Tamandua tetradactyla: one gene and its partners. The main gene of each other region encodes a partner of the protein of the gene in region 2 in a complex. Links are inferred from orthologs where the notes say so. Each region holds a gene or a part of one and is shown on either strand. Other genes may lie near its edges. The genes, in order: YWHAH, NEDD4L and AMOT.

Evidence for each region.
Region 1: the proteins of NEDD4L (region 2) and YWHAH are in contact, whole or in part, in a crystal structure (PDB 7NMZ), measured with the Homo sapiens proteins. The link is inferred for Tamandua tetradactyla from reciprocal best matches to the Homo sapiens genes NEDD4L and YWHAH. Residues at the interface, in NP_001138439.1 of Homo sapiens: Pro444, Arg445, Ser446, Leu447, Ser448, Ser449, Pro450, Thr451, Val452, Thr453, Leu454, Ser455; in NP_003396.1 of Homo sapiens: Arg12, Glu15, Asn39, Asn43, Leu44, Ser46, Val47, Lys50, Arg57, Lys125, Arg132, Tyr133, Gly174, Leu177, Asn178, Val181, Tyr184, Glu185, Leu221, Leu225, Asp228, Asn229, Leu232, Trp233.
Region 3: the proteins of NEDD4L (region 2) and AMOT are in contact, whole or in part, in a crystal structure (PDB 7LP3), measured with the Homo sapiens proteins. The link is inferred for Tamandua tetradactyla from reciprocal best matches to the Homo sapiens genes NEDD4L and AMOT. Residues at the interface, in NP_001138439.1 of Homo sapiens: Lys202, Asp204, Leu206, Arg208, Tyr210, Val212, Asn213, His214, Arg217, Thr218, Thr219, Gln220, Trp221; in NP_001106962.1 of Homo sapiens: His235, Arg236, Gly237, Pro238, Pro239, Pro240, Glu241, Tyr242, Pro243, Phe244, Met247.

What each region holds. Positions count from the first base shown.
Region 1 is NC_135331.1:30,699,777-30,707,132, forward strand, and holds the start of YWHAH (14-3-3 protein eta), read right to left. Parts: upstream 3,350-7,356; 5' UTR 3,229-3,349; coding exon 3,142-3,228; intron 2,814-3,141; exon of another isoform or gene 1-2,813. UniProt on the Homo sapiens protein: Adapter protein implicated in the regulation of a large spectrum of both general and specialized signaling pathways. Binds to a large number of partners, usually by recognition of a phosphoserine or phosphothreonine motif.
Region 2 is NC_135344.1:24,077,814-24,085,975, forward strand, and holds the start of NEDD4L (E3 ubiquitin-protein ligase NEDD4-like), read right to left. Parts: upstream 3,342-8,162; 5' UTR 2,762-3,341; coding exon 1,580-2,761; intron 1-1,579. UniProt on the Homo sapiens protein: E3 ubiquitin-protein ligase that mediates the polyubiquitination of lysine and cysteine residues on target proteins and is thereby implicated in the regulation of various signaling pathways including autophagy, innate immunity or DNA repair.
Region 3 is NC_135353.1:56,980,504-56,988,230, reverse strand, and holds the start of AMOT (angiomotin), read right to left. Parts: upstream 3,449-7,727; 5' UTR 2,899-3,448; intron 1-2,898.

The DNA of each region.
Region 1 (7,356 bases), on a different chromosome or scaffold from region 2:
CATGAATGTTCACTAGAAATCTGATTTTTGACCTCTTTCCTTAAGTCACTTAGTCTTCTGGACTAACATTTTACTGCATTGTATAGACTTATTTCACTGTTCTCATAAAATGCTATTATACACATTTTATAGAGGTTATGAATTGTATGTAGTCATTCAAAGTCAGGCCTAGGAAGGATTTGGGTTCTAGAATCTTCCAGTTTCTTCCCACTATAACACTCTATACCTAAAAGAACAAAGCTACTAAGTATGAGAGCTTGAAGATTTTCCTTTACTTCAATTCAGAAACATTCCTTGCACTTCAAATTATGGGGTGTGGCAGGGAATGCAAGTTTTCAAATGATTTGGGGCAACACTGTTGTTTCCAGTATGCATGATGTTTTTCTTACAGCTTACTGACACCATCCTTCAGGTGACACTGGTAGCACAGAGAACATCAATTATTACAGACAGGCAGTATTACGTGACCATTTAAATGACACAGGATATAGAATAAGTCAGAAGACTAACGGTTGAAAACTGACTGGTAACATCAACACTCCTACTTCTACACTTCAGAGAAACTGAGGCCAAGAGACGTAAGGTTCAAGTTCAGAGCGATGGCACCAGAACATCCCTTCACTCAGGTGCCCGGCTCCAGGTCCCTAGAGCAGTCTGTTTATGCCCTTCCACCACCCTGAGGAGACCCACATAAACCCAGAGGGTGACTTGAATTCAGACTCAGCAAAAGCTTCTAATTAAGGTCTATGATATTAATAAGACGAGGACAAGCGTTCCCAATGACATTCATGATGAATTCAATCTACAAACACCAAATTAATAAGTAAAACATAAGACCTCTGACAAGTCCATTCCAATAAATAGGTGGCAAAAAAAAAAGTTTTAATAGTGGGGACATATTAACAAAAAGTTGTTTTTAAAACAAGAATTACCTTAAGGAAATGGCTTATAACAATTCTGCAATGACACAATTAGTGCTTGACTTGAATTTTCAAAGCTATGTAACTTGTTCAATCATTTCAGACACAGATAATATAGGTACCCAGCATAGTAAAGGATCCATTCGCTTGCAAAACACTACCTTAAAAGCCTCAGAGAAAATCTGCAGACATAGCAGCTAGAAGCAAGAAAGCATTTTCCAAACATGCTTATGAAGACCAGAAAGTCAATTTTTCACTGCCCAAACTGAAATTCATTCTGGTAACACCTCTTCATCCTTTCCTCACTTTCCAGACCACAGTACTTCAGGTTTCCTACAGCTTCAAAATGTACCCTCTGGGCATTTTTCCTGAATTTCAATTCACCTTCCTTTAAGGCCCATCCCTACTTTCTTTCCAACATCTTTACTCCCCAAAGGACTCCTGACACTGTAGCCCTTAAGGGACACTCAGGGAGTGAGCAAGGGCCTTCCTAAAATATCCCACAGAAAGGCCTCAGACTGCATAATGCTAATATCACTCAGTTACCAAGAGGTTCACTTAAATGTGAATGGGTATGAGGTCAGAATCAGTTTTATTCCAAAGATAATTAAGCTTCCTGGTCCCTTCCAAGGAACATGCTCTCACAGCCAGTCCAATTTCTGTAAAATTGGCAAAATTATTTTTTTTCTTCTTCAAGAGGCATCCCCTCCCTCCGAATTACATAAGTGTCAAGCCCCAAACTTACATTCTTCCCTCCTCTGGATGAAAAACTCCTATCTAACCCACTACAGCATGCCACTGCTCAGGTCAGGATCACCAATGAATCAACAATTTGGTTGTTGGTCTTGGTTTCCAAACAAATCTAATTAAATTAGTAACCAGCACCACCACTACAGGAAAGAGAACTCTTCAAGTATTCTTCTTACCTGGATAATCCTAAAACTGGTTTCCAGAATCTATTTTAGATCATAATAATATCAAATGCTTTAAAATGAGCTTTTGGAAAGACACTGAAATTGTAGGGACCCTCTGGATTTGTTGTTTTTCTTTGAGAGATCCCTTCAGATGGCCAGCAAAGGACAAATGAGCTTTGATCCAAGGCGATGAACCTCACTTAAGCCCCCTAAAAATTGTCAGGAGAACAGGTTAAAATGCAGACATCTGAGTCCCACCCCGGAGTCTTCAGGTCGAAGGTGGGGCCCAGGGGGCTGCTGCGAGGTCTCGGGAAGGTTGTAGGCTGAATGAACAGAGCAGGTTGGTGGCAGCTGCCGCGGCTCCACCACTGTGTGACCTTGAGGCAGAGAGAACTAGGGTTCATTTAGAGAAAACATAAAATAACGTGAAGAGGGCAGGGACAGTGAGAGGAGAAGCGGAACTCGACGCACAGCAGCGCAGGTGGTGTCCAATCCACGGAATCTGTTAGGGTGTGGCTGGGCACTACGGCTCCACCGGAAATCAAGTTGCAGAGTTCATGTGCGAGGGTCTCAGGAAAGCAAAGGTACACAGGTTCGTCTCGCCCAGAAGTCACGTCTCATTTTAATCTCGAGTCCGACAGGGGCAGCATCAACCCGGGGCTAGGGAGTATGAGCCCAGGCTAGACCCCACCCGCCGCCCTCCCGCTCGCGTCCCTGCGAGAAGAGGGTCTCGGCACACAAAGCCAGGGCCGGGTTGTGGGAAGGTGGGACGAGCACAATTCGGGCGAGCGGAGCAAAGGAGAGAAGAAGACCACAGACTCCAGGTCGTGACAGAGAAAAATAGGGGAGGAGGGGCGTCACCCACTCGGCAACTCTTTATTCCCAGGTGAAGGGCGGAGGGCGGCGAGGCGGCATGTAGCCCCCAGGTCCCGGTGAAAGGGGTCAGAAAGGGGGAATGTGGCTCCCGCCTATTTCCTCCGGTTCCCCCTCCCCCACCCACTGAGCCGGGATGCGGCGACCCCCGCCCACTCGCCCGCAGGAGGGCTCCGCCGCCCGCGCGCCCGCCCCTGGGGCTGCATTCGCGACCCCCAGCAGCTCCCCCGCCTGAGACACGACTGGGGTCCGGCCGCAGGAAATGGCGGGGCGCCCGGCGCGCGCGGGAAGCACCGGCTGCTGGGGGCGGCTCCGCCCTGCAGGGTCGCAGGGGGCACCCCGGGGCATAGCGGGACACCCCGACCGGCCGGCTGCCCCATCCCTTCCCCGATTTGGACCCCCAGGCCGGCCGCGCGGGTCCCCCGGCGTCTCACCGCCTTCATGGCGGAGGCCATGTCGTCGTAGCGCTCCGCCTGCTCGGCCAGCCGCGCCCGCTGCAGCAGCTGCTCCCGGTCCCCCATGTCGCTACGGCTCGGTCTCGCCTCGCGTCCCGCACCGCTCGCCCACTCTCGGTTCGCCGCGGAGGCCGCCGCCGCGCACGCGCACTGGCTCCCGGCCGCCGAGGGAGGCTGAGACCGCGCCGCCGCCCGCGCCCGCTCGCTGGCTAGTCCCGCGCGCAGTGGCTTCGCGTCGCGAACACCGCGGAGGGAGGAGAGGCGGGCGTGCCGAGGGGGAGGGGAGGATGGGAGGGCGCCTGCGCAGTGGGAGCTGCTGGGCCGGGCGGCGGGGAGCGGCGAGAGTGGGAGGGGGGAAGGGCGAGCTGGCCCTAACGGTCTATTTCAAGGTGACGTCACCTACTATAAATAGCCGCCACCGCGGCCCCGCCCGAGAGCCGCGCAGGCGCCCTGCGAGTGCTGCATTTTACCGCCGCAGAGGTGGAGGTGGGAGCTGGGTGAACCGGTTGGAGACTGCGGAGCCGGAGGGCTGGGTGTGGTGATGGCGGCTGCCTAGGCGGCGCGTTGCCACAAACTCATCCTGCAAAGCGCGCCTGAATGCACGTTAGCGGCCTGGCCTGAGGAGGGTCCAAAACGCAAATAAACCTCCTGCGTGGAGAAGCCGGGAGGGCGTACGCCCGGAGGGGTGGGGCGGATTCGCCCCCGCCCCCGTAGCCGCAGCAGCGTGGAGTCCCTCCCGGCCCCTGGGTTGCACGGGCCACACCCTGGCGGTATCGAGCCCCGCCCTTGGGAACCCCCTTACCACACTACCACAACCGCCACCACCACACACGCGCAATCCTGGGCTGCAGAGCTGAGCTCCCACCCTGAGAGGTGGCGTCCGGCCTCACAGTCACGACGCCCTTGCAGGGAACTGGCCTAGTGCTGGGACGTCTACAGGCGTTATTGTATTTAATACGCACCACCCACCCTTGTCTGTGGACGCGGCTGGTCTCCCCATTTTTCAGTTGTGGAGCCTGAGGCAACGTGAAGTTAGTGACTTGCTGAAGGTTGCACAGCCGTCCAGTGATAGGGCCAGGATAAGGGTGCAAGCTCAGGCAAGGAAGGGGTCGGCCAGTCACTGAGCTCCTTTCAGTCATGGCATTCGGTGCGGCTTCCAGGCAAGCCGGGAAAACCTCGCTGACCAAAGCATGCCGGCCACGTACAATATATATGGCAAGGGCAGCGCGGAAGAAGAGGCCTTAGGCTTTCTGAAAGTTCTGTTGAGCACCTGCTGCATATTTAGCACTGAGAGGATAGGGTAGCTACAGGAATGAGTAATATATACCCCTGCCGCTAAGCAGCACAGATCTAAATATGCGAGAATAGGTAATCTGGGCCTTGAGAGGGAGGGAAGAGGTATTGGGGCGGGGGGGCGTACAGTATGGACAAAGACTTGACTTGGCAGAGAGGATAAAGACAAAAGAGATAGTGAAAAGAGACGCTTGCCATTGGGAATGAGGTTGGGTAGGGTGAGATTATAGAGTGTTTTAAATGCCAGATTGAAGATTTGAGACTTGATTCTTCGGAGCTACAGAGGTAACAGAAGTCATGTTTCTGGCCAGGAATCTGGCTTCAGAAAGTAACATGCATTAGAAGGGAAAGGGAGGGACTGAAGACTGAACCGTTTCTGGAACTCGGTTTTAGCATCTGAAAAATTGGACTTGAAGGACTGTTAAAGGACTGAAACATAGAAATCCTCATTCTGAAATGTCACGGTCACTGCTGTCCAACTCCTTATCCTGCATAAAGAGAAACTGAGTCTCAGAAGGAGAGGCTGGCTCCAGTTTGTGCTGTGAGTGAGCAGATCTGGAGCCTCCACACAGGTCTCCAGCCACCCAGCCCTCCTCCTCTGGTGCTAAAAGGAGGCTTGGCACCCATAACGCAGGATTAAGTATGGGTCTGGGGAAGAGCCACTCCCCACGCTTCACCCGTGTTTTGAAGAGTCACCTTTGCTGACTAGAAATGGAATCCAGGTTAGCAAACCAGGCTGTTCTTTCCCCTCGTGAATATCTTTAAAGAGTATGATAGCTCGTAATTAATCTTCCACCCCATCTAGCAGAGAAGGCGCTCTGAGAGGCAGGGCCAGGGCAGGATGAGGACGGTATGGTGAAACTCTGGTTCCTTCCAGCCTTTAGAGGCTATTGTTTTCCAGATCATGCTGGACTGAGAGTGATTTCAAAACAATGAGAAATAGGTAGAGCTGAAACAGTCTAAACAGTTGATTTTGACATTCCTAAATTACACTTTGGTTCTTCCAGAAAGCCTTTCTTTCCTTCTCACCAAACTTCTCTGTCTTCACTTCTTCACCTCCCACCCAGCCCTCAGCCCACTGTACTCTGGCTTCTACCCCCTCTCCACCCAGATGACCCTCGCTGAGACCACCAATGGCCTCCTTGTTGCCAAATCCAAGGATGCTTTGGAGTCTTCACTTTCCTGACCCACAACGGCTCACCCCTCCTTCGAACACTCACCTCTTAGCTTTCATGACCCTGCACTCTCCTGGTTTCTCCTCAACTGTTCTGGCCACTCCTTTTCTGTTTCCTGTGTGAGTTTGTCTTCTAGGCCCACCGTGAAATGCAGGGGTTCCTCAAGGCTTCGTCCCAGGCCCTCTCCTCTTTCCATTCTGCCCATTCTGGGTGACCTTGTCCAACCCCACTCTTGAAAGGAAAGGAAGATTTACCATGTTCCTAGCATCAGGTAAGGGGTTTTGCAGAGATGGGCATATTTTTTTTACTTCAAGATACCCTTGAAGTAAAAGGCAATTTCCACCCCCATTTTACAGATGAGGAAACTGGCTCAGAGATGTTCCCTGACTTGAAGAAAGTCGCCCAGCTGGTAATCAACAGAGCCAGGATTCAAATTCAAGTCCATCAGACTCCTAAGCCTGATGGCCCCACACTGCCTTTTGGTGTTAGCCAAAAAGGGCTCAAGGTATGACTCCCCTTTTGGAGTCATTTGGATTATGAAAAGCACACATAAGCCTCCTTCTTGTAGCCTGCATCTTACCAGCATCTTCCCCCTCAGGGAAGAGAGCTGCCAGCTCCCCCAAAGCCTTATAAATCAAAGACCAGTGGGGTGTGCCCTGGATGGAGCACCTACTGCCAGGGCTCCAAGCCTGATCAATAAACAAGCATTTGACCAGCTCCAAAGACAGTCCATGAGTGAAGTGAAGGGGGCTGACAATATCCAACACCATGTTGTTCCAGGGCCCGAAGCAGGCCCAGGGTAGGGGCCAGGCTGGAGCTTTGCCTGGGACAGGGGCTTTTTCCGGGAACAGAGCAATGCCTCCGCTATCCCCCGGCTGGCTAAGAAAGTATGTGTGTGAGGGGGGAGGAGGGTAGAAAGAAGCTAGTTCTGGACTTGGATTCAAATCCTACCCCACCAGTTACCAGCCCTCTCTGAGTCTGTTTTCTCTCTTGCATACTCGCGCTAACCACACTTATCTCTTGGGGTTATTGTGGGATCGGTGGCATAATGCCAGCACATGAAAGCACCCGCCATCACTGCCGTATAATAATCCCTTGCTCCTGAGTCAGTGATAAAGATGCTTCTCATGTAGGACTTGTTTTCTGAAGCATTGCCAGAACCCTCAGCCGGAGACCTGTGAATAGGTGACCCAGAAAAGGCACGTCCTGTTTTTTTTGTGGGTTTTTTTTTTTACACCCTCGGGTACTCTGGGACACTCTGAGTTCCCTCAGAAGTCTGGATACCAAGGAACATATTACAAAGAAGACCTTGTGTTGTTGTGGAGAGGCAGGTGTTCATACCCTTGGCCTGGATGCCATCGCCCAGGGAGTCGGGTACCCAGATAGGATTTTAATTTTTTTTTTCCCCAAACGCACCAAAGTGAACTTTCTAATCCTGAGCCAACGATAATAATGGCATGAGCAGCAACTATTATATGGATGAGGAAATTAAGAACTAGAGGAATCAGACTTGCTCTGTGGTCCAGGCAGCCACCCATGGTCTCCCCAGCTCACACTCGCTTTCTGTTCATTCGCTTTGGCCCTAGTGTCCTTTTGCTGATACCAAATTCCACCCCCGTATCCAAGATGAGCCTGAGCACACAGATTTCTGGATCTATCCAAAGCCTTTCACTATTCTTTCAAAGCCCGATCTGGGAGCAGATTGACTCCCAAGGCAGCTCTTGGC
Region 2 (8,162 bases):
ATCTTTATGTGGTATGTTCTCAAAGTTCAGCCTGGGATTATTCTGCCCAATGAAACCTACAGTTGTCATGATGATACTTTATTGGGGCAGGGGTTAAAGACTACCACAGAATGAAAATGCTACTGAAATTTGCACCATTGCATAATAAAAGATATTGGTTCAAACCAAGGCAAAGCACTCAGCCATTTCCTAACAAAGGGTTAGATATAATAAAAGAAAGAGGCTTATGGAAGGAAAAAGAAAAAAAGGAAAAACAATTGTGTAAACCAAGAAAAATATAATATTTACATTTAGCACCTGATTATAATGTGAAACAGTTGAAAGCAATGATGGAGCTGTGATAAAGTTCACTCGAATGGCAAAAAAACATTTCTGAACACAAAGCAGTGAAAGATGATACAATTCTAGAATAACAGCCACCCACTTTGAAAACTGGCAATTCACAAGAGAAATCCAAGCAGAAAAGAAAGTCCCCTAGATATTTCATAATCATATCTTCAGACTGATAATCACATGACATTCAGGGGTAAAGATTCAATTCAATATACAAAGAGCTTGTTCTTTAAGAAAGCACTCAATGGCTAGTGACTCCTAGTAAAAGAAACCTGATTTAAACTTTCCATCTCACTATAAACTACACAAGTGCAAAGTCATCACATGCCTGGAGTCAGCAGCTATCTTTCGGTACTCCATTTCACTGAAAGGAAGAGAATAAGAACACACAAGTAGGAAAGTCCAAAATCTGTCTAGGGAGTCTGTTTCCACAGCTGGAGACAGGGCACTTACTAATCTATATACAGCATCCCTGGCTTAGAGACTCAAGTGGGCAGAGTTAAGTTCCACAGGCATGCAACCAGGTCATTAACGGGGCCCTATCACCGTTCGCCTTTTCCTGGGTTCATAAGTCCACCTACTTCAAAAACACACTTCTCACTGTCCAACAAGTGCGACTACCCTTGTTTAGCATTACTTCATGGGACCAGAAACAAAGAAAATGAATTACATAAGAAAAACTAACACCACTACCCCCACCCTGCCCCTGCAAAACAAAAAGTCCTTTAGGAAGACCCAAACTTTGAGCACACTATTTTAATTAGGAGACTAAACCCAAGTATTGTGCTATATCCACTACCTTTATTAGAACTATTTGTAAAGGACATGTTGTCCTAGGCTATCTTGGCAAGCAACTTTTAAAATGTGTTTCCAACATGAACATGTTGAGGCACTGGCTTGCGTTTTGGCAGATGAATTCAAAGTAATAAATTCTTAAAATTTTTTTATCCGGAAGGAAAAAAAAAAAAGGGTGTTTTGTTTGAATTTTCAAAACAGAGCTCTTGACTTTGAAGGCGTACACAAACAAGATTTTCTGAAATGCTCACTGGTTTCATGGATCTCTACCAACCAATGGAGCACAAATCATCGTCACGGAATGCAGCCAGCCATTAAGCTACAGTGGACCAAGGTGGGGAACTCCCCAAGCTGAGGACGAAGTTTATTTTAATTACACTGCGGAATAAGCTTTCTGGGTATGAATCAGCCCCTGCTGACCTACTCTCCCATGTAAACACAGCTCACTTACCGTGGCGCTTGCTACTGTCAAGCCAGGACTTTTGGCATTATCCTCCTCAGGATTCTGGAGAGTTTCTTCTGGCCCCCGAGTTACAAGAATTCTGAAATGCTGTTGCCCTGCATTTTGATCTTGCCTGATCTTAAACATACACCCTTGACCCTGTGGAGTCCTCTCTATGGAATTCGTCCTGTGGATTTCTGGAGTCATCCTGCTGCCGCGAGACATCTCGGAACGCCCCTGGTCATCTGTGGGGCTCACTCGTTCAGTTCGGGGCTGGGTGGGGTATGACGTGCTCCTCTCCAGCCGAATACGAGGGTACCTCACCAACCGATTGCCCTTCGTGCCAGTGAAACCAAAGTTGCAGTCACCACCCAGACCCAGACCACCCTGCTGGGACTGCTGCAACTGGAACACAAAGCACCGCTTCCCAGGACTACCAGAAACATCTGGAACGTGCTGCAGGGACCAGCGCCTCGGCTCAGGTACAGAGGGGCTGCTCTGTCCTTCGGACCCCAACGGCATCAGCCTCACCTGGCGCGTGTCTGCACTGGAAGCACGGTGCTGGATCCTGACCCCACCAAGGTTCAGCCCTGCAGGAGCTCCACTGCCTTCCACCCCTGGGGTGGCTGAGGGCATGGCATCCTCTTGGAGCTCTGCAGGAACTGCACAGAGCACTCGGTGGCCACAAGGACCAGTTCCATTGACCTGTTGTTCAGAGTCCCTGGATATCCTTGGAGGAGAACTCTCCGGGGTCTCTCTCTCTGAGGTTTCCTGGGAGCTGCTTTGAGACGATCTTCTCACTGGGGTGGTAAAATCCTCCCTGAAGTCCGAAAGTGTGCACAGAAGCCCGCCCTCAAGTGAGTCCGGCGGCACGCAGTCGTCGGTGTGTCCGTTCACAGCTTTGCGCTGCAGGGAGATCTGGACGGACGAGCTCCTGGTTGGACGTGCATCGATACTATTCGGCAGCTGAGGGATAAACATGGACGTACTCCGCTTGAGCGATCCCACTCCTTCTCCCAGGCCACCACCACACTCCCCTCCATTTTGGGAGAACGGGTGGGGGCTGCTTCTCCGTGGTAGAGTGTGGAATGCCATGAAGAAGTCATCGTCTCTCTCCTGGTCTAGGATCTCTGATTCGGGGGCTGTGTTGCTCCGACCAGAGCCAAAATGAAACCGAAGCCGATGGGCCATGGTGAACGGGGGGCAGGGAGGGAGAGGGAGAGCAGCAGCCACAACCCCAGCACTGCCAGACGTCAAAAACCAGAGACATCAACTCCAAGAAAAAGTGTCCCATCTGCCAAACTGTTAGCACCGCAGAACCAATAGCGGCAGATAGCAGAAATAACCCAAGTGGCCAGCGGCATTCCAGGCAGGATTGGATAAGAGCAAAAAGCTCTCATCGGCGCTGTGACAGAGGGTAGGGTGGCTGCAACCACATGACGGCCTTCTCGCCCTCCAATGCCAGCTTGTGGACTTAGTGGAGTTTTCCCCCTTCTCGCTATGATTTTTTTTAAACAAGAGCCTGAAACAGCACCTTCCCAGCTGCTGCTTTTCCATCAGAAAGGAGTGGCCCCAGCAGGGAGCTCTCGCAGCTGACTAAGGCAGCAAACACAGTCTGAGCCACGAGGCTATAAATCTGAACCACATCACATTCACAGGACGTTTCTTTTCAACTAAGCAGAGCACTCAGACTTTCTCCAGCGAATGCGAGGGACCTGGCATTAAACACACAAGCTCATATGTGGTCGTCCCCACTCCACCCCCACCATCTCCCACCAAACCTCCCTGTAAAAAAAACATGAAAAAAAATCAGGCGAAGCAAGAAAACGCACAAATATTGGATGTTAAATTTCTCTGTTATTTATAATATCATCATGTTAATATGATGGAACATAAAACAAAACATACTATAAATAAGATTACACACCCACTGAATTAGTGTCCCTTTAACACTAAATAATTAGACCATGACCCATCTACAGGAGGAGGGGCATGACTTCCAGCACTGGCAGTTGGCATGGCCCCCTCTGCTTCTACACTAACATTTTTCATTTAAAAGATATGTGTGCTTATCTTACCTATAAGATGGTCAGCACGGCAGCACCAGAGAAAAGGAAACCCAGCTGGAGAAAACACTGCCTCCCAATTGAGAGAGAGAAAACCAAAAATAAAAAGGGGGGGGGGGGGGGAGACTAAAGAGAAGTGTGCATGCAGCTTTTGTTTTAATTTAAGTTAAATACCATATAGAAGAAATGATGCCTGGAGCCGAATGCCTTCCAGAAGAGTTAGAATTAGCAATATTACCAGAGTTGCAATACTAATACAGAATTTTGCTATGTTTGCAAAGGGCTAAAAGGGACATAAGAACTAAAAGTAAAAGTGGACATTCAAAAAACTGTCACAGACTTTGTAGTTAACTTGGAAATGCTCTATGTGTTTCAAACTTACTGTTTTCCGTAATCCAGTAAGTGGGTTATTTAACAAAGAGGTTTATTTAGGAGGGGCAGAATACCAAGCTGCAACGAGTGACAAAACGTTTATTTTAAAATCTGCAAAGCATGACTTTGTCAACAGTTCTGGAGGCAAGGGTGTGGATGATTAACCCCATATTTACACACGTCCAAACCTGATTGCTAAAGATATGTGTTTTAAATGCCAAAAATGACCTTTAGGAGAGAAATGGAAGCCAGTTTGTTTAATGTTGAAACTGCCAAGTATCAGGACAGTCACGTATTGTCTTAAATGGATTAACAGCCAACAAAGACACACACACACCCCCCACCAGCACTCATTGCATAGTAACAGCACTGTAGACGGCTTAGGGAAGAGTTAGGTGTTAAATATTGTAAAATACAAATTTTCAGATAAAGCTTGTGCTTACACAGGATTTCTTAAAGATTTGTACTCAAAGCCCTTTTTGGTTTGGAAGTATAGTTTAGAACTCATGACAAGGTCAGCTCACCAACCACATTATTTTAGATAATAGAAATGGGAAATAATTTTTTTATAGAAGAAATCTGAATAATGGATTAAAACATCTGAAAAGAAGCAATTTTTCCTGAAATTTGACTCTTTCTTCACCTTGAAGAAGTGTTACTGTACCGAATAAACCTGAGAGTAAGGATTAGTCTTTGGGTGAATCTACATCTCCTGTGACTTATTTTTGTTCCCCTGAGCACTGACTCAAAGTCTTCACTGACTTGGACAGTCGGAGGTCTAAGAAAGAGGCCCAGCACACTCTCCTACTCAATTTAACAAGAATGGGAAGTGATTTAGTTCCTCAGTACTATTAAATATCACCCAAGGTACTAAGTATTGAATTCAATGCAAATCCACCAAGGAATCCACACATATTTTTAAAGGAAAGATATCAGAATGGCAGGTCGGAATGTGTCTACTTTGGAGAATATTATCACGTGCAGAAAGAAGATCAAACACACCCTAACGAAGGTGAAAGGCCTGGCTCTTCACCACCCCTGGGCTGAGAAATGGGCAACCAGCAGGCTCAGCCTCAGTGCGACCACTACTAGTTTCACTGACCGCCCAGTTTAAATGGTGTAAAGCTCCAGACCTCAGCTGTCTCACCTGCAACGACAGGGAGTCGAGCAAGTTGTTTTATAACACTGCTCCAGACCAAATATTTCATTAAAATAAAGCCACTCAAAAATCTGGTGTTTCAGTTAAATTCTGCCAAAAGGAAGGCTTATACGAACATTCCCCTAACCAGATAAGACACATAAGTTTCAGGGAAGGTATACTGATGGACCTGCGTTATAACACCACTTCTGAGAGTAAAAAATACTCTCAGGACAATGCTCAGTTTTACCATCAAAACACTTGGCTCATGGGAATCTGATGTGTATATTGTAGTTAAAGAAAACAAAACTTTCCTTAAAATCTTACCTTAAGCCAAATTTGCTTTCTAAAATTTCTATTCCAAAATGTTAATGTATATTGGTTATATGCTTCAGAAATATCTTTGGTTCTTTAAAAATACTTTCTAAGAGTCTCCCTTGAGACAGTACCATGTTTTAAAATACAGTTTAAATTTTTCTGCTAAATACAGATTCACTTTTTTGCTCTACACTGTTAATTGGATTTTTGTTTCTCCAAAGAGACCCACCTTAGAACCTCTTGAATAGGTTACAGTGTTACATTTTGGCCTGAATTTTAAAACCCTGAATGGTTTGCTTACAGGTACAGATGGCCTCTTTTCAGATCCCTGTACTCTTCTGGTGTCCCCACATTTCAGCACAAAAAATGGCCTGATGCCAGCACTGAAGACTTTCATTAATACTTACTGTGATAAAAACACATAAACTTTCTACCCTAGCAATAAGAAAATATTTGTTGGAATTATGAACTTTAAACAAAGGTGGGGCAAAAATAATCTTCTGTTTGGGCATATATACTTTCGTAAGTGCAACATAAATACAGTCTCAAAGATGTAACGCTCAAAATTCAGCTTTTAAAAACTTAAGCAAAATACAAAAGCAGTAAGTCACTTACCAATCTGTTTTCGTCAAATACTTCAAACAGGAGTCTGTGATTAGATGGATTTACCTATGAGGGACATAAACAGTATTTCAAAGATGAATAAAAATCATTCCAAAGATGAAATAAGGGATAGTAATAGAATGATATTTGAAAATGCTTCAGTTCAATTGTGTAATGGGAATACTCTTCTGGAATCCCATGTCTACTAAATCAAATTTTCCATTGTTCCTGTCTATACTTTTCTGCCCCTAATATTTAGGCACATCAGAAGAAAAGGCTCCAGGTTGTTCTTCTAACCAACCTAAGAAGGGGTAATCCCGAAGAGCTTTAAAGAGTTCCTAAAATTCCTGTGCAAAAGGCATCCCCACACCTGTGGACCAAGGCCACTCCCTCACAAAAGTCTACACAGAAATCTCTAAGGCCTAAGAACAATAATTATAGTGATGACAATAAAAATAATGAAAAAAAAAATAGTAGCAGTAGCTTATTGTGTGCTTCTTAGGCACTACTGCCTTGTGACATATCAAAGGTACTTTATCTCATCTAATCCTCACAATCCCAGGATGTGTAACTATCACATGGTCCTGGGCCCATGAGAGGGAAGCAGATCCCACTGCCTGCAGGCAGACAAACCAGGAGCTGAACCAAGTCTCACCTGCTTGTTTTCAGAGAGAGCCCAGACAAAGAAACAAAGGGAAAAAAGATATTCCCACTTTCAGTAACACAGGGCCACCATCGTCGCTACTGGGCTTCCCATGGCTTTTTGTTTCTCCCTTTGCCTTACCAAAGCCTCAGCCAAGTGACCCTTATCACCATTTGGACCCCAGTATAACTGACCAAGCACCAACCACAGATGAGGCATGGTGCCAGGTATTCTCATTTACACCATCCCACGGAAATCCTGGAAACACCGATGGAGTAAGCATGGTCTCTCCTGTGCGAGAGAGGAAGAACCAAGAGAGGAGAAAGAATGTCTCTCTCTACCCCAGCCAGTCAGCCTCTCCTGGGGAATTCACTGAAACCTACCTGGAGTTCCCAATTTGGGGCCCATCCTATGGAATGTGGACTTGCTGATTCCTATTGTCATGGGAGCCAATTCCCATAATAAATCTCATGTTATATACATACATGTTTATTTTAAAAAAAAAGAACTGAGATAGTTCTTTCCTAAGTTACTAAGGCTGTGAAGGGCAGTGCTGGAGACGCCGCCCAGGTGTTCCGTTACCAGGTTTCAGCTGCTTCCTGGGGAAACGCAATGCAGCACATCTGAGTCACAGCCTGCGTGTGCTTGGGTCCCCGAGGCTGCCTTAACCTAGTGACAGGGCAAGCAGGTGGACAGGCTGTCCCGCATCCACTTATAACCCTGTGAAGGTGGTGCTGCTGGCCGGTGAGTGCCTCCACCGGCCGGAGGACAACAGAGGTCCTCAAGAAACATTTGAGGAATGAATAAAACAAAACCTTTTTTTTAATACCCAAGATTAGCTGAAAAAAAATTCAGATGTACTAAAATTTAAATAAATGTGAGTGCAGTGTCAAACAAAAAGGTGTGTAAATAATTTGGGGTTTTACGAATGGAAAGCTACATTTGAGAGTTAACTAAGGTCCAAAGACATCTATCTCCCCCATTAGCTTTTCGGTCTTTCACAGAGTAATTTAAAATACATCTTGTAGAGACTGTACGTAGGAGTTCACCAAGTATTAAAATATCAGTGCCAAAGAGAAAAAAAGCATAAAAAATGTAATAAAATTAAATAAATAAAAATAAAATATCAGTGCCATTTTTCATTAGCTCTGAACCTAATACAAAACAGATGTGTAGAATAATCCAAGTCTGAGCACATAAAATATTATTATGATTGAAAGAAAAAAGTCAGGGCCAATCTTAAATGGACTGAATGGCAATACTGCTCTGTGGGAATCTGCACTGTTCAGAAGACCTATTCTGGAGCATTTCTAGAGGTAAAGCAAGTCTTAATATCACAGTTACATAGACATTTGAAATATCTTTTCATTTTAAAGAGAAATCTTTCCAATTAATTAGCTAAGCAGTTTAATATTTCCAAATTTTCAGTTCCAATTCCCACCCTCAAAATAC
Region 3 (7,727 bases), on a different chromosome or scaffold from region 2:
TCTTAGAAACCTGAATTTTTATACATCAAGTCATAGGTTAAAGGCACTAATTAAAGCCTGTTCTTTCAAAGAAATCTGCTATGGATTTTTTTATAAAGTAAATGACCGTCTATTTTTTTCTTTCTTTTTCCTCTTTTTTAATTCAGACTGTGTGTGTAGTGTGTGGAGAGGGTGATTTTCCTAGGTTAAAAGAGGTCAGAAGCCCACCATGGAAGAAAGTAATGCAGTACAGCCAGTCTGTTTAATGTTCCCTTAGTTCCTGGGATCAAATTTTAACCTTTGACTTGGGGGTGGGACCTTAGATTTTGGACCAAAGTCCACAAAAGACAGCAAGGAATGAAGAAGTAAGACTGAAGACAACACATCATAATAAACTACCAACAAAAATGCTTAGAGACAGAACATCAATGGAGCACAATTCTAAACAAATTGATTTAGTCCCAAGCTAATTAACTTGTCAAACGGATCTCCAAATTCACTGGGTCCATGGGGAAAAGAGGTGATATAATAATAGATTTGAGAACTTTCTTCCATTTACCATCCAAAAAGGCTCAGACACAATCACATACACCTTTTTCTACCCCTTTCAGTGGGTTTAAGCTAGGCTTAATGGTGCAAAGGACAATTTCTTCCAGACAGTCCCTAAGAATAGGCTGTTCTCATACATTCCAAAACTTCAGTCTCCATGGAGGAAGCTACCTGGCCACAAGCTTCTCCCAAGAAGGAATATATCCTTTACTCTTCCTCATTGGCACCCATTTCCAAAACAAAACAAAATAACTTCCAATCATCCTGAGAACTTCAGGGGACATTTTGTGTGTGCGGGGGGGGGGGGGGATAGGAAAAAAACTCAAGAGGGGAAGCAGGAGAGTGTGAGAAACTCCTCTTGTCTCCAAATAGGAAAAAAAGGCTTATAAAGCTGGATCAAAGGAAGAAAGGGGGGGAGGTGGGGTAGAAGGGTTGCTTAATTACAAAGACACCCTTTTAAAGAAGGCACAGGCCCTGGGAGAGGGTTCTTGTGAGAGCCCCAGAAGCAGATGTACCCACTTAGAATTCTGGCACTCAGTGGGACCTCAAGGTCATAGCTTCCATCCCTCTGCCTTCTGATTAGACTTTTCTCAAAGCATTCTAGAAGGAGTCTGATTTATTCTTTACTCAACTCCAGAAAAGCAATTCCACAAAACTCTTTGATTATGTATTAGTCTAATATACCCTACTTTATAAACCAGAAATGAGATTTTAGTTTCCAAATCCAAATCAGCATTAATATGAAGAAAAAATTCGCTTTTCTCAAGTCTTTTAAATAGGTAAACAGACCCACAATTTTTGCATGAAAGCTATTACATACACACTGTGGTCAGAAGTTTACTTCATATCTAAACTATGAAGTTAGGAAAAGTATTTTCAATTTTACAGAGCCACAAACTTTTCCAAAGAGAGCCACGAACTTCTCCAAAGAAAGAGGCATCTTAAAATGAAGCCTGATGCATTGCCAGAAAATGTCTGTAAATGACACCGGATAAACCCATACAGAATAGCTGGAATCTGAGTTATCATCTGTAAATAGATGCAACTACTCTACAGCCACCTGGCTATTAAAATGTCCCAGGCCAGTTATAAAATGTAGTTTGGTCAAGCCAGCTCTTCCCTCCCAGCTGATCTGAAACATGATATCCTTTAAAATTGTTGCCTTGTAATGTTTCTTCTTTCCTTCCCTGCTTTCCTTCCCACCATTAAAATCAAGCAAAGAAATTATTTAAAAGCGTAAGTAATTTGTATCCAAATAAGTAATGGATCAGGGATCGCTCATAATAGGTCTTTGAACACAACCATTCTTATAAGTTTGCTACCCTTGCCAAACTGGTAATAGATGGGAGATTGGGGGAGCTGTACCTCATGTCTAAAATGGTATTTCAAACTATGCTTAGTTACTAAATGAGGGTGCTGAGAGGTCTAACTGAGAAGGTTTCACAAAGACTGGCATGAGAAAGAACTTTTCACAAAGCCTAGCTCAAGGAGACTTAAATACCCTTAGCTCTCCACCATTGAAGATTATGGTCACTAATCATCTTCCTCTCTGATGTTAGAAAAGGGTTAAATTCATAAAAGTTGCTCCCCAACTTCCATCCTTCTTGGAGAAAGTGGGGTGGGAGGGGAAAGAAATCCCCTGGGTTGTTGGAAAATTATTTTTTTAGATTCATAATATAATAGAGATTGGAAATGCTTTTTCTCACTAACTTTCCCTTTCCTCACACATTTAATTGCATCTACTCCCTTGCTGCAAATTATCATTATATCATTAGTGATAATTTACGAAGAACTGCTCACAATCTACAAAGACTGCCGCTTTCCCTCCCACTTTTCCTACTCTTTATTTTCACCTATTGACGAAATCCGTATTACTATTGAAGCACCAACGCAGAGTGGCTCGGGTTTGGGACCCTACAGATATCTGCACGGTCCCGCAAAACTAGTTACTAACATCTTTGGACCTTACAAACTAGATAAGTAGCAACCTCTGACACCCCACCCCCTACGCAAATGCACATGTACACCAAAGTGTATCGTGGTAGATTACTCCCAGACTTTAAAACTTCAAAATTTATGGCACCCTGGAAGAGGGGAGTGTAAGAGCCCCAAACCCTACCCTAAGCACTTAGGAAACCTGCATCAATTGATTTAAGTGCGGACAATAGTGCTGGGCTAAATGGAGATCTCCTGTCTTTAGTTTCTCGCATGATTAATTACCTAGAGACCTACAAGGACCCCAGGAGGCAACGGGGTTAAAACTACCATTAAGTAGTGGTACCCACTAGCATCTCCTCACCAAAGGAGGGCCCGAAAAGGAACGCACACTCTTGAAGTGATTTAACTTGTAGCACATTCCGGAAAACTCACCGACAACTGCAAAGAAAAGTAGAACGAACGGGCATCTCCACACGCATCTAGACAGACTTACTCACGCCGAGGGCAGGACCAAGTTCATGCCACCATGAATTCCTGCCCCAGCTCCCCGTGAAAAGTAACCACACGTCTCCTACCCCCGAAGGCAACGAAGACAAGGTGTCGGCTCTCAGCTCACTCAGATAGATGGCTTTGGCCCTGGCCGACGGCCAAGGATGGGCAGGGGGAGGAATCCCCAACTCCTGGCTGCTCCCCTTCTCGTCACTCCGTCCGTGCGTTCCTTGGTGGCAATGGACAGACAGGATACCGGGCCGGAGGGTGGAGCAGCGGATGGTCGGAGGCGACAGAGACTCGAAGTGGGGGTGGGGGTAGAACTAGAAGAGGAGACGAAAGAGAGCGGGGATGGAGGAATAATTCAGGGGGTCTACCAGCTTGGGCAGCCAGAAAGCTCTTCGGAAGGAAGGGGCGTGACTGCTATGAAGGCAGCTCCCGGGCAAAGGATGGGAGGTAGAGGAGTGGGACGAATGGGTGGCTTTTCTTCTTGCAGTAAGCGGCTAGGACCGCCCAGGAGCGGAGGGTGGGGGTAGACTTAGGAGGGAGGCGGAGTAGAGGGCGGGGAAAGAAGGGCGGGAGTCTGCCTGGACCTCGGGGCGGGGGAGGGGGCGCAGAAGGGAGGCGGGGCAGGGGGCGGGGAAGTTTGAAACAATTGAACGGCGGTGTCCAGAACCTCCGGCAAAAGCCGGTGCCCTCGTTCTCGCCCTCTTACTAACATAGCACGACTCGGTTCCGGTAGCCCAAAAGTCTACACAAGGAGTGGCTGGGAGGAAGGAAGGGGTTCTGTAAAGACTACAGTAATCTACGGTAACAGCGGAGCAGAGTCGCGTGGGAGAGCCAGTGCAGCTCCCCGCCCCACAGCGGGAGGAAGAAAAACAAATAGAAATGCTGAAAAGCGACTTCTATCAGAGCCTGCTTAAAATAATAAAGGAAGGCGCAGCGCTCCTCCGATTTCCTTCCCCTCTTGCTTCCTATTACCACAGTCCCCCACCCAGGTCACAGCTCTATGAGACACCCTCCTTTCTTCCTCTGTTTCTCTTAGCCTTCCCCTTCCTCCTCCCATTCGCGTCTCTGCCTGGCTCTCCATGGCAAGCTGCGCAGGCAGCCGGGGTGGGGTAGGTGGGGCGCCGTGGAGCCTCCGCCTCTTGGGCGGGCTGTGAAGGCTGGCCTGGGCGGAGCGTCCCGGAAGAGTAAATCCCACCCGACGATTCTTTTGCAGTTTGCAGTTGGGGAGTCCTGGCCTAAGGTACGCCTCCTATTGGTTACTGGAGCCGTCAATCGAATTCTTTTGCCCCACCCATCCTCAAAATTAATAAAACTAGACAAGAACCTATTGTCTTGCTCGCTAATCTCCCCCAGCTACTGCTGGGAAGAGAAAGATGAGACGCTTGATTTCTCAGTCTGGTAAGAGTGCGACAGTGTGTCGACTGATTCGGGTACACCTCTGTGGCACTCACTGTTCATTCCTCGGAATAGATAACTTTCCTCCCTCAATTCATTAGGCGAGAAGGAGGAAAAAGTACGCGAAGTATCAATATGTTCACATTTTCTGGCTGCAAAAACGATGGTATTGCTTAAAAACACGGGCAATTGAGAATAGCAGGCTGGGACACTTGAAAGTCTCCCATTTTACAGCTGGGAAAATAAAGCATAAAAGAACAGCATAAGGGTGACAGAGGAATATGGGTTTTGGAACCAACGTAATAATCATTTCGGTCTCCGGCGATTATTAGCTAGTTGTACGACTTTTCTTAAGGCGCTTAGCTTCTCTGAGTCTTAATTTTCCCATCTTGTAAATAAAGTCTATAAAATATGCTCTATTAACTTAATGGTATTGGTATGAAAATAAAATGAAATGAGTGTGAAAAATCTGTAGACTACCAAGCACTCCACAAAGGTATGTGGCAGAGTCTCACGTGTTTGGAAAACAAATATTCTGCTCATGTTTTTAAAGCATTTATGTCCAAGGTATGTAGGATTTGTGGCTTTGTTTTAAAAAACGACTCTTCCTAAAGTTCTGGAGGTGGGTATGGGTTGGCTCCCTGCAATTAGAATAATAAGTTTCCCTTTTTCTAACAAGTGTGGGTGAGATTTCTTTTTTAAACAGTTCTGCAGTGGCGCCACGACCTAAATCTAATGTGGTGCTCGTACTGAAAGAGGAAATCATGCTGTGTATCTCTGAAGCGAACTTGAGAAAACAAATATGAGAGAACATTTACCATGGAAACCACATTCTGTACAGATCTATATTTGCTAGAAAATGTAACAAGTAGGAAGCAAGTCTAAAAGTAAAGGCTTTGACAATGGAGAGCTAGTATAATGAACTCATGCAAATGAAAGAGTTACATCCAATTCAAGTTTGGCTAATAGGAGTCTTCTTAGGAGACATAGATCAAGGCCATGCAATAGGAAGTGTGTTTAAAGGAAGCATTATCTCACTGTGAACAGAATCTCAATATAATTCTGGTTGCGGGAAAAGTTATGGGCAGGTAGCACATCATCAAAAGCATTGAGTGGCCTCGGTATACAGAGTACTCTGCTAGGGGCTGCCAAAAGATTCAGAAATAAGAGTATGGGTATGATTGCTTCAATTTACATATGAGGCGAGGTTATTTAGGTGATTTTTCATGGGGAAGATGAATTTTTGTGCATTAAAGACATGGAGAAACCTGGTTTTATGAATCAAGGGAATATTATTCCAGCCTTGTTATTTGGAGGCATGGGCAGGAGAGCTATGAAGAGTGCGTATATGCTGGAGAACTACCACTGATCAGAATTGTAATATGCTACTTGTTAAAATTAACATTGCTGTTAAAATGCAGAAGGTAAAATATGTACATGGTAAAATTAAAATCAAACAAACTGAAAGAAGTACGGTGAAAAGTTGCCTCTTTATTACTCCAGTTCCAGAGTCCCCTTACACTCTATAACGGTATGTAATCTTCAAAATATATTATTTGCATATCCATGCAACATGGGTACATATGTGAACACACCTTGCCCTTCTTTACTCAAGTATGTATCTTAAATATCTTTTCATATTAGGACAATTACTTCTATCTAATTATTTTTCATGATTAGTTCAGTAATCCATTGCATAGATATACCAAAATTACTTTAATCAGCCCCCTGTTGAGTTGTAATTTAGGTCTTTCCCATCTTTTGTCATTGCAGATGATGCCAGAAAAAAAATTCTTGGTAGCATGGATCTGGCAGCTGTGTTTTAATATGCCTGGCAAGAGTCTTGACATTGTCCTCAAAAGATTGTCCAATCTGTCTTCTCCACAGCTACCAGGGCCTTCATAAGGTTGGAACCCCTCAAACACCTAACTACTTCCACACCCCCTCCTCCAATCCTGCCATGGGCATTACTGTTCTTCTACAACTTTTAATTTTTTGATGGAATATAATTAGCAGAGCTCTGAGCTTAATGGGGAATCAGGCCATGTATGAGTCACCTCTTAGCCTGTGGCAAAAAGCAGGTTTATTGGTACCTCTGATTTACCCAGGTCTTTCAAGCATCTTAGGTGTTCCTTCTGTCTTGCCACACAGGACTTTCTCTTTGTTTTTACCCTGAAAACCCTTCAGTTTGTTTAAACTGTTTGAATTTAAAGCCATGCATTGCTTGCACTGCTTAAAGTGGGGGTTGGGGGGCGGAGGTGGGAGGCCAACATCAACAAACATTGATTGAGCTGCTATTATGGACAAGACTGGAAAAACAAAGAAGTATGAGACTTGGCTCCTGCCTTCAAGGATATATACATGAAAAGATAACTAACAGGCGTATGCTAAGTGCTAAATGAATGGTATTGACAGTAAAAGCTGTGGAAGTTGAGAGAAGGGAGAGAAAACTAGTTTCAGGGAGTGAGTTTATATAGCAAACCATGCCACACACATTTGACTAATCCCCAAGGCATCCCCTGACTTCAAATCCTGACTATAAAATATGGAAAAACCCGCTGGGGAATACCAGGAGAATTAGCCACTGACTTTGAAGCACCTGTGTAAAGATACTGGGTTTCCTAAGTGTTGCACATTAAAATCTCCATATATTGATATGGAAAAAAGGAAGATCTTTTAAGCTATAAATCAAGAGTCTCCACCTGAAACTACGTGCCCTATTTGGCTTTTTCCCCCTTAAAAAGCAACTTGTCTTTAAAGTGCAATAAAAATCAACATATGCACTTTGTTGGCAATATTTTTGCCCAATGTACAGGAAAAGTAGGAAGGAGAACACAGCTTATAGTCCCAACCTCTGGCTACGTTCTTCTTTAAGGCAAAATCATAAGATTTAGCTGATTGACACTCTCCCCCACCTACCAAGCCTACTGGGAGTGTAGTGTAGAATGAGCAATTTTTCTCTAATTGCCTGGTGAACAACTAAATCATTTAGATGCATCTGAAAAAAAAAGAAAAAAAAAAAACAAAGGCAAGTACATTCATTAGCGAAAATTCTCAGGATGTATGTCTTAACATAACACCCCCCCCCGCCCCCACGAAAATGCTGTTCATATATGTTAGACACACATTGAAAAAGTCGCCTGTTTATTTATGACACCTGCTCTGCAAATGCAAAATCCAGCAGATCCGAAAATTGCAGTTTCATTTGAACAGGAAAAGAACAGAGACACATATATAATGTAAGAATGCAGCTAAATGCTTTTCTTTTGAATACCTTTCCTCCCCTCTTCCATTCTTTCCCAATACATAAACACACACACACATACATACACACCATACACACACTTGGTCCAGACACAGGAAGTTTG